2 linked regions of the Lepisosteus oculatus genome follow. The protein of the gene in region 1 interacts with the protein of each later gene in a pairwise test. Links are inferred from orthologs where the notes say so. Each region holds a gene or a part of one and is shown on either strand. Other genes may lie near its edges. The genes, in order: pex6 and pex26.

The links.
Region 2: the proteins of pex6 (region 1) and pex26 come close enough for resonance energy transfer, tested with the Homo sapiens proteins (2 studies listed by BioGRID). The link is inferred for Lepisosteus oculatus from reciprocal best matches to the Homo sapiens genes PEX6 and PEX26.

Annotation. Positions count from the first base shown.
Region 1 is NC_090712.1:3,845,034-3,852,944, reverse strand, and holds the start of pex6 (peroxisomal ATPase PEX6), read left to right. Parts: upstream 1-4,888; 5' UTR 4,889-4,901; coding exon 4,902-6,116; intron 6,117-6,391; coding exon 6,392-6,561; intron 6,562-6,942; coding exon 6,943-7,026; intron 7,027-7,433; coding exon 7,434-7,545; intron 7,546-7,911. Other genes in the region: crip3 (cysteine-rich protein 3), read right to left, coding at 1,441-1,483. UniProt on the Homo sapiens protein: Component of the PEX1-PEX6 AAA ATPase complex, a protein dislocase complex that mediates the ATP-dependent extraction of the PEX5 receptor from peroxisomal membranes, an essential step for PEX5 recycling.
Region 2 is NC_090702.1:9,040,509-9,048,619, forward strand, and holds the start of pex26 (peroxisome assembly protein 26), read left to right. Parts: upstream 1-5,068; 5' UTR 5,069-5,302; intron 5,303-6,458; 5' UTR 6,459-6,459; coding exon 6,460-6,683; intron 6,684-8,111. Other genes in the region: cystine/glutamate transporter, read right to left, coding at 1,031-1,238. UniProt on the Homo sapiens protein: Peroxisomal docking factor that anchors PEX1 and PEX6 to peroxisome membranes. PEX26 is therefore required for the formation of the PEX1-PEX6 AAA ATPase complex, a complex that mediates the extraction of the PEX5 receptor from peroxisomal membrane.

The sequences.
Region 1 (7,911 bases):
CAAGCAATAGGCACAGGAAGGATACATCATCGACAGGACACCAGTCAATAGCAGCATTCCATATTCTTTAACACTAAAAACTTAAACGCCCAGATACCAGTTTGTTCCATTAATTACAGAAAGTTTAAAACAAATTCTAATGTCTTTTACATCTTCACCTTTGGGTCTTTCACGTATGTGCATAGCATACGACCCTGGATTCCTATTCCAGCACAAGGCAATGTCCCCGTGTCTTTTTCCTGAATAATAACGGGCAGGCAGTCCATGTCTTTTGCTTCTATGAGCACTGCGAGCACTCTGCAACTCTCCCTACACAATTAAGGCATAGCTGAATGGCTTCCTGTCAAAAACAGCCATCCTTTGCGGTGACAACGGACTATTGATGGAGCTCCAGCATCACAGCATGTGCCAAACGGTTACATAACTTATTTGTTATGACCTATTTTAATAGCAGTTAGGAGGGTGTTTACAAGCCTTCATTCTATTGTATCAGATAGCTTGATTATGTCCGTAGCAGCACCTGATACCGCACTGGCGCGATAGACCACTGTCATTGACAATCTGCCAGCACACCAGTCTGTCTCAAACCTCCACTAAAAGCTACTTATGTTAAACACAAGCTGCAACTACTGTATGTAACGCCTAACCGTTTAAATTGTCTCAGTATTAACGTTAAAAAGCAAGCGACAGGCTTGTTCAGCAAAAACCGATTGATTCACTAATTTATTTTTGCCATATTTCTGCGACATCCTTCTGCAGCTACAACAGAGGAAAACAGCCCACGCTGTAGAAGATCTGGTGTTTCTACGGCATGCGTAGTCTCCACAATACTGTACAACAGCTCGCATTGCAGAGAGGACATTTGAAGGCAATTACTTACAAACATCCATAATAATTAAAAGATAAGAGCTGGAAGTCTAGTTTAATACGCGTCTGTCGAGCTCGATTAAAAGGGTAACCATGAACAACAAGTTTTGGACGTCAGAGCATTAAGATGAATTATATGGAAAACAAAAGACTTGAGCAACTAGGATTAGATAATGACATTACATTTTCAGATGAGATATTGTGCTTAGAGAAGAAAGCTTTAAGCAATAAAAATTTGATTTACTTCGGCTACTGAATTAAAACATACAGATAAGGATAGCTTAAAAACTTAAACAGGAAAATAAATCCATAACGCCACACAGCCCTCTCATTTTAGAAGTATAATTAAGACAATAGGAAACCAAACATTACAGCATGATCGCAGCTTGTGCCGTTTTGTAATCACTATAACGCTGCAACAAAAGTAACACATTAAAGTGGTGGGACTGCCTGCACGCCACCTTAAAAACAATAACACTCAGCCACACCAGCTGGTTTGCTTGCATTCTTCCTAACAATGTACAGTATGTGTTCATCCATGCAACACGCCGAGAAAACAAGGCAAAGTCTTACCAAAAAAGACAGGCTTTTCGCATCTGGGGCATTTGGAGGTCATTCTGCTCAAGTTTAGCCCCTGGCCACTGAAAATTTAATTCCGCCTGCTCTCTCTCTCTCCCGCCTGCCTGACGGATCTCTATCCAGGCTCCGGGCTCCAGACTCCCCAGAACTGCGCTCCGCGCCGCCAACTTATTCAACTTTAAAGAACCGCAGCGACCCGCCTCCTCGGGAACTCACTCGGGTAGGATAGCAGGGTGCTGACTGTGATAGGTTCGCTACCACATCACTTAAACAGCTTTGAAATACTGTAGGTTATCCTAGCAGGCGGATATTAATCTGTGAATTGATCACTGGCTGCAGTAACGAGTTGCGTTCGTTAACATCATAAGTTAACTCTTGCCCTTTGATCGGTTCAGGCTAAAAAGAGGATCAGATTCCGAAAGAAGGCTCTTCGTTTCACACTTTTAATCGGGATTGTAAACATACAAGAAATACCGTATTTACCATTGCAGAAAGTTGCGGTGTCAAGATAACTGCATATAAATAATATATATTAAATAAGCATATAAAACAGAGTGCAGAATTTAAGAGGAAGTCATCTTTTTTTCACAATGTTAAAAAACATGAGAATAGTTATGTTTTTTTTATCGTTAGTAGCTAATTGATTCGAGTATCCCATCCAGCTGTTAATTGAAATAAGTATCGACTTCACAATGACTGGGGACCTTGTTCCACACTCCCAGAACCTTCTGAACAGACCTGTAATATTTAGCAGGTTGTGTTTTGGAGTGTCGTTTAGGTGGTAGAATATGTACTTCTATGAAAAAAATAATAAGGTTTATCATATTTAAACTCTTCGGAATGCATTTCTGCACAACGTCTATGGGAAAAAAAAAGTCCGGTTTGTAGATTTTAACATCTCTGATACATGCTTGATGTGTATAGCCTATTTTTAATTTCATTTCAAAGGCGAATAAAGAATAAGCAAATCCAACGACTCTTATCAAATTCATATTTCGTGCACAATTGTACGTTTTCTCTTCTTAGGAACTGAGTCATACAAATAAAGGTAACAACTTGAACTTGAACTTCATTGCCATATGTAACCGGTACTGGAACAATGGAATTCTTACTTACAGAAAGTCTCTCGTTTGTAAAACAAGTGTAAAAAACAAAACAAAGTGCAAACAGTGCATCAAGACAATGAAGCTCAAGACGACGAGGATGGGATTCGAACCCACGCGTGCAGAGCACAATGGATTAGCAATTAACAAGCCAATTGCTTTAAGGCACCAACGTTTGTCTCAGTAAAACCGGCAGGAGAAATCTTGCGTATTGCGCTGAATTTAAAATAGAAACAATTCACGTTTTAGAAGAATGGTTGCATACTTCTATCTAAAAGAGGTCTACAGTATGTTGAACATAAGGATGTTTTTCCTGCTAGAATGCATTGTACTGTATATAATTTCCACCATCCCGGCACCCACGACGATCGCAAAAGACAAAGTGGTGTTTGTTCATCAGCGCTTCCCAGATGCAAGTCTATATGCGGGGCTGGCATTGTCTTCGGTGGGAAGGAAGGGCTTTGTGTTAAGAATAAATGTCAGCGGGTGTTGTGGGATTTGAGTTCTGAAAATAATATAAAAAAGAAGAGAGGGCTTGAAAGAAGAGGCTGAGAGGATGGATGGGAAAATGCCGGTTGAATAACACTTGTTGCTCGCAGAGGATGCACTGCAGCTGGTGTCTGCTCTCCGCGGGCCACGCGTGGGAAAAGCATCCCAGTGAGGCCAGTTCCCAGGAATTCCTCTTTCAGGTTCAGTTCCGCGACAGGAGCGTAATTCTCCCGATTTAGCCTGTTCCCGGCGGTTCTAATGTCAAGTACGGTGCTAAAGAATGGACTGTAAACCCACTCGCATTGTGCCAGTGCAGTGTAGGGCTGCAGAATCCAATCCAAAAGCCTCCTGACAGTGATCCAGATTCAAAGAGCTTGCACGGCATGACCGATGAATTTGTGCTGCTAAAGCAAAGCAATAATAATTAAACATTGCCAAACATTTAGATAAATAATAATAATAATAATAATTAATAACAATAATATTGTTATTCCGCTCTACAATGGACACGCTGCTTTTGAACATTCTAAAACCCACTGTAGCTCAGCAGGTGTGAGCCTGGTCAGTACCTGGATGGGAAACCTCCTTGGAAAAACTAAGGTTGCTGCTGAAAGAGGTGATAGTGGGGCCAGCGGGGGGCGCTCACCCTGCGGTCCATGTGGGTCCTAATGCCCCAGTATAGTGACGGGGACACTATACTGTAAACAGGCGCCGTTCTTCGGACGAGACTTAAAACCGAGGTCCTGACTCTCTGTGGTGATTAAAAATCCCAGGGTGTTTCTCGAAAGGAGCAGGGGTGTAACCGCGGCGTCCTGGCCAAATTTCCCATTGGCCCTTACCAATCATGGCCTCCTAATAATCCCCCTCTCTGAACTGGCTTCATTACTCTGCTCTCCTCCCCACAGCTGATGTGTGGTGAGCGTTTGGAGCACTATGGCTGCCGTCGCATCATCCAGGTGGGGCTGCACATTGGTGGTGGAGGGGAGTCCCCATTACCTGTAAAGTGCTTTGAGTGGAGTGTCCAGAAAAGCTCTATTTAAGTGTAAGCAATTATGATTATTATTTTTAAAACACGGACGTTCTGGGTAACAGAAATGTGAAAGGTGTAAATCAAGACACAGTGTGAAATTATAACATCGATATAAAGAGGAAATGAAAAGGATATACAGGAGGAACTCAAAATATATTGAGATTACTTTTTATTAGTTGTATTATTTCGTTTGAATTGGGAACATAACATTCATGCCTAGAAAACATTTGGAGAACAAAATATATTCAATTATACATCAATATTAAAACACCTTTTGTGTACATGTTAGTGTAGGAATGCATTTTTCATTAAGCTTGCTGTAGATATACAATACAATTGCATTTATTAAAAAAAGATGTCGTGTAATTATGTGCTACAATTTCTATACTTATAGTATCGTCCAATAACAGGTTATTCTTTTTTAATGAGTTATCACGTTTAAATGTATTATCATTTGTCTGTCGTGTTTTTTTCATATTTCAAGAAATATGACTAACAATCTATCAGGTGAAACACAAATGTTGAAGTTGAAACGCGAATATCGATTAAAGAGCACTGATATTCTATGCATATACTATTAACTGTGCGCCACAATACATCTTAATTTATTAAAAGTACTGTAAAATCGTCCACAGTGATTGATTTTTCAGTCCAGCATAATTGCGTCCCTAAATATTTGTATTTTCGTCGCAATCCGTAAGTAACGACTTTGAAATACTGTATTTTGTTGTGTGATGCCCTCTGATGGTTGAAGCGAAGAAAGACAAAAGGTTCGACAGCTCGTCTCTCTGCTTGATTTCCTGATTTCATCAGTTCGTGCTGCATTCGACAATATGGCAGCGCAGGCAGAGTTGTTTTGCTTGGATACGTTTCCGTCTCATTATAATCAATTGCATGTCCTGCTTGCAAAATCACAGTTCAATCAGATATTTCCAGGTAGAAATGAATTACCATGTGTGCTGCTTTGTGCGCGGAGGCGGCAGTCTCCTCCGAGAGCTGACATGTTTCTGTGTGCCCATGTCACGACAGAGGAAGACATTCCGGAGTTTGCTACCTTCGTGAACAGCGATACACTGCTAAAACTTTACACAAGCAGACTGTTTTTTCGGCATTACGGGTTTCAGCCTGGTGCAAAAGTGACGGTGCGTTTGGCGTCTCCAATAGGCCTGAGTAAAATAGTGGTTGGCGCAAAAAGCAGACAGAGCTTTAAATGGGCAAATTCCGATAAGTTCTCGAATGGACTTCTCATACTCGCCTCCTGTCAGAAACAAAACGTTTTGGCGAGGCAGGGTGACGTGTTGTTAGTGCCTTACCACCCACTTTTTGGCGACGATATCGCCCAGGTTAATCAGTATTTTTTAGACCTGGTTGTCCTGGAGTGTACACCTGTTACGCAGGGAGTCATAACAGTTAACACGACTGTGGTGGTCACAGACTGCAGAGACTTGGCGCAGAATCACGGCCCTTTAGAGGGCTCAAGCCAGGCGTCGACGACTAGACTTTTAACATCCCTGTATGCTTCTGATTTTGCACACTACGCTAATAGCTTCTCTGGGGGGCGTTCGCTGTTAGAAAAGAAGAAAGTCATTAAGTCAGACTTCTCTGATTTTCTGCAAGCATTGGAATGCAGATTTGACGTCAGAGTAATGGATGTGTCCAGCCTGCTGAAGCAAGGGAGGATTAAAATAAAAGATAAGGCAGATTTGGGGACCAACGTGGATGCTTCTATTTTTGTGAGCAAACACTCACTCCTTAAACTGGGTCTGTTCAACCACGAATGGGTTGTTGTGTCCACGTTAAGCCTCTCTTCGGACAAAATGAGGGTTTCGGTTAGGAGTGACTGTCCTGAGAAACCCGAGGACCATGCCTGCAGTAAAGACGCCGTGACACACAGAGGTGGGCACCTCGCTGCAGTTGTTGTTGCTGAATTCACCAGATCTCAAGACCTGGAGTTTCACGAAAACGTGGGCTTCGTCTCGCCCTCTCTGTGGTTTAACTTATCTGGTGGGGCCCCAATGCCCATCGCCAGCAGAGTTGTCAAGATAAAGGTGAGTGCTGAGGTCTGTGTCTTGTATTCCACTTGAGAAGGATGTAGATGGAACATTTTCTAAAACATTAAGTTGATCACGTCATTTCTAACGTAAACTATTCAAATATGGGAGAAATTGTGCTTCTCCATGTTGGCAATACTTTATGAGCTAGAGTGTACATATTGGGGAATATCTCTAGTTCAGTGAACAGAAGGGACTGGTTGAACTAATCCTTGCGAGTGGTAAGAAGTACCATAATTTGAAGTGAGTCTTTTTCTCCTGTTTTTCTGCAGAGATGCTATGAGCAGGTTTCCCAACAAGAGAGACAGCTGAAAGACAGCAGGTCCTCCACAGCATCTTTACCCTTTGCCAGAGAACTGCACATTGACGCCATCATTTCACCTGACTACAGCTCCAAAGGCAGTATTGATAGTGTTCTCTATGCACACTTTAGCACACCCAGGTTAGTCAAGTGTCTCAAAGATATGAATAGTCATAGGCCCACTCCATTTTAAAACTGCAGGAACACCCTTAATGTAACTGGTGTCAAGGAAGGGTTTGTCCCATGTACAGTAGGAATCATCATTATTGTATCACGTATATACTACATATTATATACATGTTCAGGTGGGTAGCTGCATCAGCATGTGTAGGCTGCAAAGGAACAAGTAATAGGTTTATTCCATGCTGAAAAGAGAAGAAAGAAAACGCAACGTTTCGGCCATGGTGCTCCACGGCTGAAACGTTGTGTTTTCTTTCTTCTTTTTTCAGCATATTATATACAGTACATACTGCATTTAAAACTTGATCAAATTTCACTCCAGCTGATATTTTGTCATTTCAGGCTGGTGCAATTAGGGGATGTTTTGAGCATTCCTACTGAAGGACATGCAGCATTCCTAGAGAGTCACACTGAAGGATTTACAAGGTAATCTCTCAGCCCAGAAACTTTAAGCAAAATCAGCTGTATATTAAAGCATATAGAACAGTTTAAATCTGTCTGTGAAAAATAATTATCTTTGTCTCCACAATATTAAACATCTTGATTCTAAAAGTTTACTGCGGTATATGACTTGGAAAATGCTAGGTGTGTCCATGCTTAGTGAAATCATGGTGAAGAACAGAGAGATACAGTAAAGCATAATTTAGATTACATGTAACAGTGACCAGGTAAAACAAATTCATGGTATTAGCACAGAAAGGCATTGTGACAATGTCTTGCAAAGTTGTCATGGTAAATGCCCACTAGAAATCTGGTTATGCTTGTAACTAATATCCTAGTTGTTCATGCCTATTTTTTATCTAATTGTTTTATGTTGTCTTGTTATCTCGCAGTTGGCCAGTATTGTATTTCAGGGTGAAGAAGGTTTGTGGCACTACTACAGAGAATGGAGAGATGAGCCCTTTTGGTTATCTGGCTGATACAGAACACACATCCTTGTACTTGGTAAGAGAGAATTGTCTTTGGATATATATGTTGAATGTAAATAGACATTGTACAGGAATGCAATGGTAGTATAGTAGCTAATGTCCCAGAAATCATTTTCTGTTTTTTTTTCGTGGAACAATATCCATACATCAATAACCTTTTTGTTGGAAAAATTCAGCTAAAATATCACATCCCATATCGCCTTTCAGACCTACATGCAGTTTTGAGTAAGGATCTATAAAGGTTATTTGAGAAAAAATTGAAATATAAGGCATTAGTGTCATCTTTTCCCGTTTGTGAATGAAAAATGAAAAAAACATTCTGAATCTTTGTTCGTTAACATTTGGAGTTACCCATCCATCAATACCTGAATCATTAGTAGAG
Region 2 (8,111 bases), on another chromosome or scaffold:
AAACGATCCAGCAGCCATATCACCCTGCAGCTCACCACTGGTAGCCCACTGAAGCTAAGCATGTGTGAGCCTGGTCAGTACCTGGATCGGAGACCTCCTGGGAAAAACTAAGGTTGCTGCTGGAAGAGGTGTTAGTGGGGACAGCAGGGGGCGCTCACCCTGCGGTCCATGTGGGTCCTAATGTCCCAGTATAGTGAAGGTGACACTATACTGTAAAACAGGCGCCGTCCTTCAGATGAGACGTAAAACCGAGGACCTGACTCTCTGTGGTCATTAAAAATCCCAGGGCGCTTCTCGAAAAGAGTAGGGGTGTAACCCCGGTGTCCTGGCCAAATTTCCCAATGGCCCTTACTGATCATGGCCTCCTAATAATCCCCCTCTATAAATTGGCTACATTACTCTGCTCTCCTCCCCACTGATAGCTGATGTGTGGTGAGCGTTCCGACGCACTATATCTGCTGTTGCATCATCCAGGTGGATGCTGCACGGTGGTGGTGGAGGGGAGTCCCCATTACTTGTAAAGTGCTTTGCGTGGAGTGTCCAGAAAAGCGCTATATAAGTGTAAGCAATTATTATTATAACAAAAATACCTTTTCTGTTTTGAAGGGATATGCATAGTTAAAATTAACAAACCTTTTATGTTTCTGATACAAGCTTTTTACATCTCATGGCCAGAATGAGAGGTGAAATCATTGTTCCATTTTTTGTCACCTTGGCTAAATTTGTTAACAGCACCCTTACTGCTTAAGGATTTCCATTTATACAGTATGTTAAACATGTTGAAGCCCACAGAACAATGGTGGTGTTCCACAGGTGAACAACAGGATAATTTTCTTGCATAGTGTTTATAACATAATGGTTCAATGCTTTAACATGTAGCTAAATCCACCTTTTTATGATTTTTCATTAGTCAAGAGAGCAAAAAAAAAAACTACATTTTTGCAACTATTTTTATAATTTAAATCAAAGGAGAACAACCTGAACACTAGACTAGAACTACCATACAAAGTCTGCTGGTATCGCCACTCACCGAAGGTGGACAGTATCCCAGAGAGCACCCAGATGATCAGAGACAAACCCACGTTGCCACTGTTCTTGAGAACACCTTTGGGAGCAATGAAGATCCCACTGCCCACCACAGTGCCGATGATCAGACAGACAGCTCCCAGCAGGTCAATCTTCTTCCTCAAGTAAACAGTTTCAGCTCCTGACTTAGCTTCACTTTTATTCCCCTCCATGTTTGCAGAATTGCTCCAAGGAAGAACATGCACTCACACTCCAAGGCTGTGTTTTTTGGACTATGTGCTGCACAGTCGCCACAGTAACCTATTTTGGGCCAAAAACAAAGGAAGCAGTCTTCTCGAGTTGCTCTCGCATAGTTAATCAGAGACGTCTGAGGGTCAAACTGCTGCCTGTGTGCGCGCAGCTTGTTGAGAGAGAGAAGGCCACCCAATGGAAAACAGCTGCCTGACACTACAGGCCCCCACCTCCTTTTTTATTCCTCAAATACTGTATCTGTGGACTGAATTTGGGCACTGAATTCTGAGAAAATATTTTTCATTAAATAGGCCTAGGGAAGGATCGCAGGATTTCTTTTAAAAAATCAAAATCAATGACAATCACAAGTCATGACATGTTTTGTAAACAAAATAAAACCTGTCAAAAAATTTATATTTGATGGAAGATGGCTTCATATATTTCCTTATTACACAAAGTCCTTACTATCTTTACAGAGGAGGATTTTTCAAATGCACAATCATTATTTTATTTTTACATCCACATATTTGGATTCACTGTGAGCTTTGTACCATTACAAATGGGAACAAGGGCTTTCCTTCAAGATGTAATTTTATTAAGCCATCATGCTCCGAGTACCACAGAGTCAATCAGAAACTTAAAGTCAATCTCACTAACATTACTGCTCAAAATACTATCGTTTCTTCCATTGTGTGTGTATCTCTCATTATTAAGCCGGTATCTCCAATAACATCCTCAGAGCTGGAACACAGCGTGATTCTGGCTAACATGCGACAATGAAATGCACATTGTGTCTTACAAAAGTATCCACCCCCTGCCAAGAACAGGGGAAATTAATGTGCGTTAAGAAGGACAATGGCCTGGATAGCAGAAGGCTGTTTGCCACAGACACTCAGGAGTGTAATTTGGCGCCAAACGTTAATAGTGAGGGGCTTGCGTGGACTGCCTGAACACCGGCAGAGCGCTTCGTTTCCGTAACCACGGAGCAAGCGGTGTGCTGGTGTATAGTCGTATCGTAAGGCGTCTTCTCCGCTATATACTGTACAACGAAAAGTCTTTCCACTAAAGGGAAAATTATACTTCGGTAACCACTTCGCTACAACGCTGGTTCAGAGCTTGGACCCCATCCGCGCGCTCGCGGGGATGTTAAATAGCAAACCTGTTAAGCCTCAGGTGCTGTAGTTACAGTAGCTGTGCATTCCCTAGCGCCGCGGAGTACGGAGTGCAGAAAGAGCTGTGTTCCACTGTCACACCTGCAAGAGAAAAACTGTCTAGTACTGATTAACCCAACAGAGAAAACAAATCTTGAGTGCTGAGAGATTTTGATTTCATATGTACAAATATTTTGAACTATACACTGTAGTTTAAATTGGCCAAAGAGGCTGATTTATGTTTATATAAATGTTTGAGTTATTATTGCCTTGATTAATACAACTACAAAATATATAATTTAAGATCGAATGATTAATTACAGTATAATTACAGGACAACTCCAGAGATTTGACACTGTATTTGAACGAAAAGAATCGGTATATCATGTGCAGATTACACATGACAGCACACAAGTAAAGTATCCAGAGTAGGTTTATACTTACCCCAATGTTCACATAATCTGATTAAAAGTTCTATCTACAATTGTATAAGACCAATGTCTGTATCTGTTCCCACGCCTAGAGCTGTCATATTCAAACTCCCACAGAGACATTAATTGATATCAACACAGATTTATGTGCTTGAGTGAATCACTACAGGCAAGCAAAAACAAAAAAATACTGAGTTAATCAGTTATATTTATTTCTGCAATTAAGTGGAGTTTTGTCATTTTCATTTTGGAATTTTTAACATTCACATAGTATTTTTAATTCATTTAAAGCCAGTCATCTGAACAACACACTTTTATTCTCCAATAAAGACTTCAGCTGCACCTGACCTGTAGCTCTTAGAGGAAGCACTATAGGAATGCAGTAGATTGCCTGTAAGACAAAAGATGGCTATTTCATATACATTTGCTTAACACTGTACAAAATAGTGAGCAAATGCTAAGACAGACCATGGGATACAGATGGAAATAGCAAGCAGTCTGAAGATTTTTATCCCAAAGTTACTAAATACAGATCATTACAATTAGCCCTAAAAACCTGCACTGCTGTGTTCTGAAGTGTTCTTGAACTGTCACAGAGTATGTTAAAGTGTACACATGATTTCAGACATTAAACCACTCTTTAAAAAATAGAACGTTTTGTTTTAATGTCACTGTCTTAGTGGCATAACATCTGAGCTGTCAGTTAAAACAGGGGAAATGCATAGGCAATAGCTGTAGAATAATTGAATATTTATAAAATAACAAGTAATAGGTTTATTCCATGCTGAAAAAAAGAAGAAAGAGAACACAACGTTTCAACGTTGTGTTCTCTTTCTTCTTTTTTTCAGCATGGAATAAACCTATTACTTGTTCCTTTGCAGCCTACGCATGCTGACGCAGCTACCCACCTGATTTATAAAATAAGTCTATCAAGGGAAATCCTCAAAAGCTGATAGGAAAAACCTAACTTAGATTAATTGTAAGTGTATGTATTGAAGTCAGGATAATTCAGTTATTAAAAAAACTGAGCTTTTGATTGTAGAGGGGGAGAAGGGGAAAAGGGAAGAGAATGGGAGACTGAAAAAAACTAAAATTATCCACTGTCCATATAGTCTAAGGTCTTGCTCCGATTTAGAATTAACAGAAATCATGAAGTAGATCAAGAATAGCTTTTGTGACAAAACTCTAGAAAAATCGGTCAGATTGTGTAAGTACTGCAGTTGCTCACAAAATAAATGTATAAGAAAACCCAAACAGTTAAAAAAATAACAATCAAGTGTGTCAGATTGAGATAGCTGGTGTCCTACTCACGCTCCATCTCCTACTATTCTAGATTCCATGTTATATCACAAATAGTATAGGTTGTGCTAACTTTTAATTTTTTTTTCTGTTTATCTCTCTATGTGTTAAGAATAGAGGACACAAACGCTACAAAAGTCAAGAGCATCTTAACCTTCCTGCTGCTACAGATGCAGTGCTGTGGAATAGGCTGTGCATGTGATAACTATTCATTGCTGTTTCAACGGTGTCGTGACTGCCAGCTTTAAAGAAACAAAATATCTGATCTAGGGGTCTGAATACTTTTGCAATACTTGGCAGGTATGAAGAATAGCTGGTAGCTCCTGCTGTAATATTTCATATACCAGAGAATAAACAAATAAGAAACATTTATAAAGATAAAATATAAAGTATATTATATTCAATAATATATTTGTTATGTATTATATTAAATTAATTATAATCTTATAAAAATAAAATATTAGTAAGTTGCTGCTTTATAAAATTATAAAAATAAGTATTAGTCCGTCCTTCGGATGAGACGTAAAACCGAGGTCCTGACTCTCTGTGGTCATTAAAAATCCCAGGGCTCTTCTCGAAAAGAGTAGGGGTGTACCCCGGTGTCCTGGCCAAATTGGCTACATTACTCTGCTCTCCTCCCCACTGATAGCTGATGTGTGGTGAGCGTTCTGGCGCACTATGGCTGCCGTCGCATCATCCAGGTGGATGCTGCACATTGGTGGTGGTGGAGGGGAGTCCCCATTACCTGTAAAGCGCTTTGAGTGGAGTGTCCAGAAAAGCGCTATATAAGTGTAAGCAATTATTATTATTATTATTATAGTCTCCACAAACATATATTATGGGAAGTGTAGTTTTCTAGCGGTCTCCAATGAGTGCATTCTAACAGTAAAAACTATGATTCCCACAGTTCATTGCGTTGTTGACATCCGCTCCAAGTATGTCCGCTGTGTAGCTGATCAGTTTTAACTTTGATGTGGAAAAAAGTGTAATAAGGTTTTGATTTTTTAGACGCAGATTTCTAAATCAACACAATATCTTTTTTTTGCTTTCTTTTCCTCTTGCGTTTCGATGTGGTAAAATACATTAATGTTACCTGCTCAATTTTAAATAGTGAAAGTCAGTTTTCTGCGAAACAGGATTAAACGTGCTGTGAGTGCGTGAAAGGTTGGTATATTATATAGTAAATGTGAAGAGTATAGTAAGTAAAAGTCTCTTTAAAAATGATCTCTTTAAAATGATGTTAGTGTTAATGGATTGATGGTTCAAAAAGATCAATAAAAACTCAAATAACTTTTGTCGTACAGTTCTGCAAACGGTGGAGAAAATGTTAGATGGTTATTTACTCAGAATAAATATAAAACGTACTATATGGAGTGAATTATTTGTAATGCTTTTTACGGAGATAAAACCTCCTGACACTTTTCGATTAACATCTGCAATTTAAAAATAAATTCTTAATCGAATGCATATTCGCAAAGATTTTCGTTGTTTTTTTATGCCTTTACATACTTTTATGCCTTTACATACTGAATTACTTAACATTAGTATCCAGATCGGGTTTTTCACTTCTTAAGTGAAACAAGTGAGTATTGTATTCAGAGTGATTAGTAACTTCATAGTGGATTGATATGCAGTACACATGTACATGCATGCCTATTTGCAGAATAAATGATTACTTATGGTGGCATGATGGTGCAGTAGTTGGCATTGCTAGTTTGCAGCGCTGGGGGCCTGTGTCTGTGGTGTTGGATGGGAGTTCTGTCCAGGGTGTATCCTGCCCTGTGCTAGTTGCTTCCCGCGATAGGCTTCGGATCCCCCGAGACCCTGAACTGGATAAAGCGGTTAGAAAATGGATGGATAGATGAATAAGTGCTTTCATTCTTATTTGAAGTTATCAATCAAAGTTTATTTATCAAATGCACAACAACACAGTGTGCAGCAGTAGTTGCTGGCAATGGAATGTCTTTTCTACGAGCTCACTGGGAGAGATAAAAATCACAGAATTAAAGTTGCAAAATAAGGTTACATAATGATAGATAATAGTGCAATAGAAATTCAATAAGATAAACTCAATATAAATAGAGTTGCTATGTGTCCAGGGTGTATGCAATACATTATGTCCAAGTAGTGCAGTATGCCAAATACAATGAAAACTGTATGTCCATGTAGCCATTGTGGGTGACTTGCTGAAGGCACTATAGGATTTGCTGAAGGAATTATGACAGTGAACACAAATCTGCATGCTGTTGCATTGTATCTTAACAGAAGACGCAGTCCTTGCGCTGCTGTGGAAAGTGAATATTTTCTGTTTCTCTGCAAGGATGCGGAGCAGCTCCTCCACCTCTCTGGCCCATGTGAGGGGCCTGGGCTCGGTGCGACTCGGCAGCAGCCCGCTGCTGTCCCAGGGCTCGGCTCAGGCGCTCAGCCTGCTGGAGACCGCCGCCGAGCAGCTGATGGTGCAGCGGGATTTTCGAGCAGCGCTGGATTCATGCGAGAGAGGTTTGGACAGCATGGGGAGTGTCCCTGAGCAGGAGGACACATCAAGGTACCGCTACAGCCAAAGACAAACAAGGGCGTGTTGTGTACTCATAATAGTGCAATATGTTTTGGGGGCCAATAATGAGATTGACAAGGAAATCTGGGTATTGATTAATAAAATTAAGTAGTTTACAGTGCCTTCAAAAAGTATTCACCCCCATTGATGATTTCTTGTTCTACTGTGTTGCAAAGTCAAATTAAAACATATTTAAATGGGATTTTTTTCCTCTAAAATGTTAAAATGAAATGAAGTATTTAGACGTCTTCAAAATTATATTAAAAATAAAAATCTGAAAATTTCTTAATTGATAAGTATTCACCCCCTTTGTTTTAACAACCTAAATTGGGTGAGGTATTCAACCACCTTGAGAGATATCACACTAAATGTCACGAAGAGTAGATCAGGACCCTATGCAGACGATAGAATCCGGAAGGGAGTGCAACAGACACGGGGAGGAGACGGAGAGGAACTGGGCAGGTGGACGAACGGGGGTGTGACGATGGTGCACTGCCCGTGGAACTTCGAGAAGAAGTTGTAAGGAGGAAAAAAACTGGAGAAGGTTATTAAAAGATTGGCAAAGCTTTGAGCCTTCCTAGGAGCACCGTGAAGTCCAGTGTAACAAAATGGAAAAAACATGGCACAACCTAGACACTACTAAGATCAGGCCGTCCTACCAAATTGAGCAACCGGACAAGAAGGCCAATTGTCAGAGAAGTGACCAAGAGGCCAGCTACAACACTGACAGAGTTGCAGAGCTCTTTGGCTTAAATGGGAGAAACTGTCCAGACATCAACAATCTCTTCAGCACTTCACAGATTTGGCCTCTTTGGGAGATTGGCTAGAAGGAAGCCACTTCTGAGAAAGGCCAACATTAAATCACTCCTGGAGTTTGCTAGAAACCAAATACAACTGAACACCCAGGTAACACCATCAAGCATGGTGGTGGCAGCATCATGCTCTGGGGTTGCTTTTTAGCAGGAGGAACTGGAAAGCTTGTTGCCATCAAGGGCAACATGGATGGAGCCAAATACAGGCAAATCCTTGAGGAGAACCTGTTTCAGTCAGCCAGAGATCTGCGTTTAGGTTGAAGATTCATTTTCCAGCAGGACAATGACCCAAAGCACATGGCAAAAACTATCAAGGAATGGTTTGAAAAAAAGAAGGTTAGTATTCTGGAATGGCCCAGCTAGAGCCCAGAGGTGAATCCAATTGAAATTCTGTGGTGAGACCTGAACATTTCTTTCCACAGATGCTCTCCATCTAATTTGGCAGAGTTGGAGCAAATTTGCATTGAAGAATGGGCAAAAATACCACAATTTAAATGTGCAAAGCTCATACAGACAATCCCGAGAAGACTCATGGCTGTAATTGCTGCTAAAGGACTATGTACAAAGTATTGACTGGGGGTGGGGCTAAATACTTTTGTTAATGAGA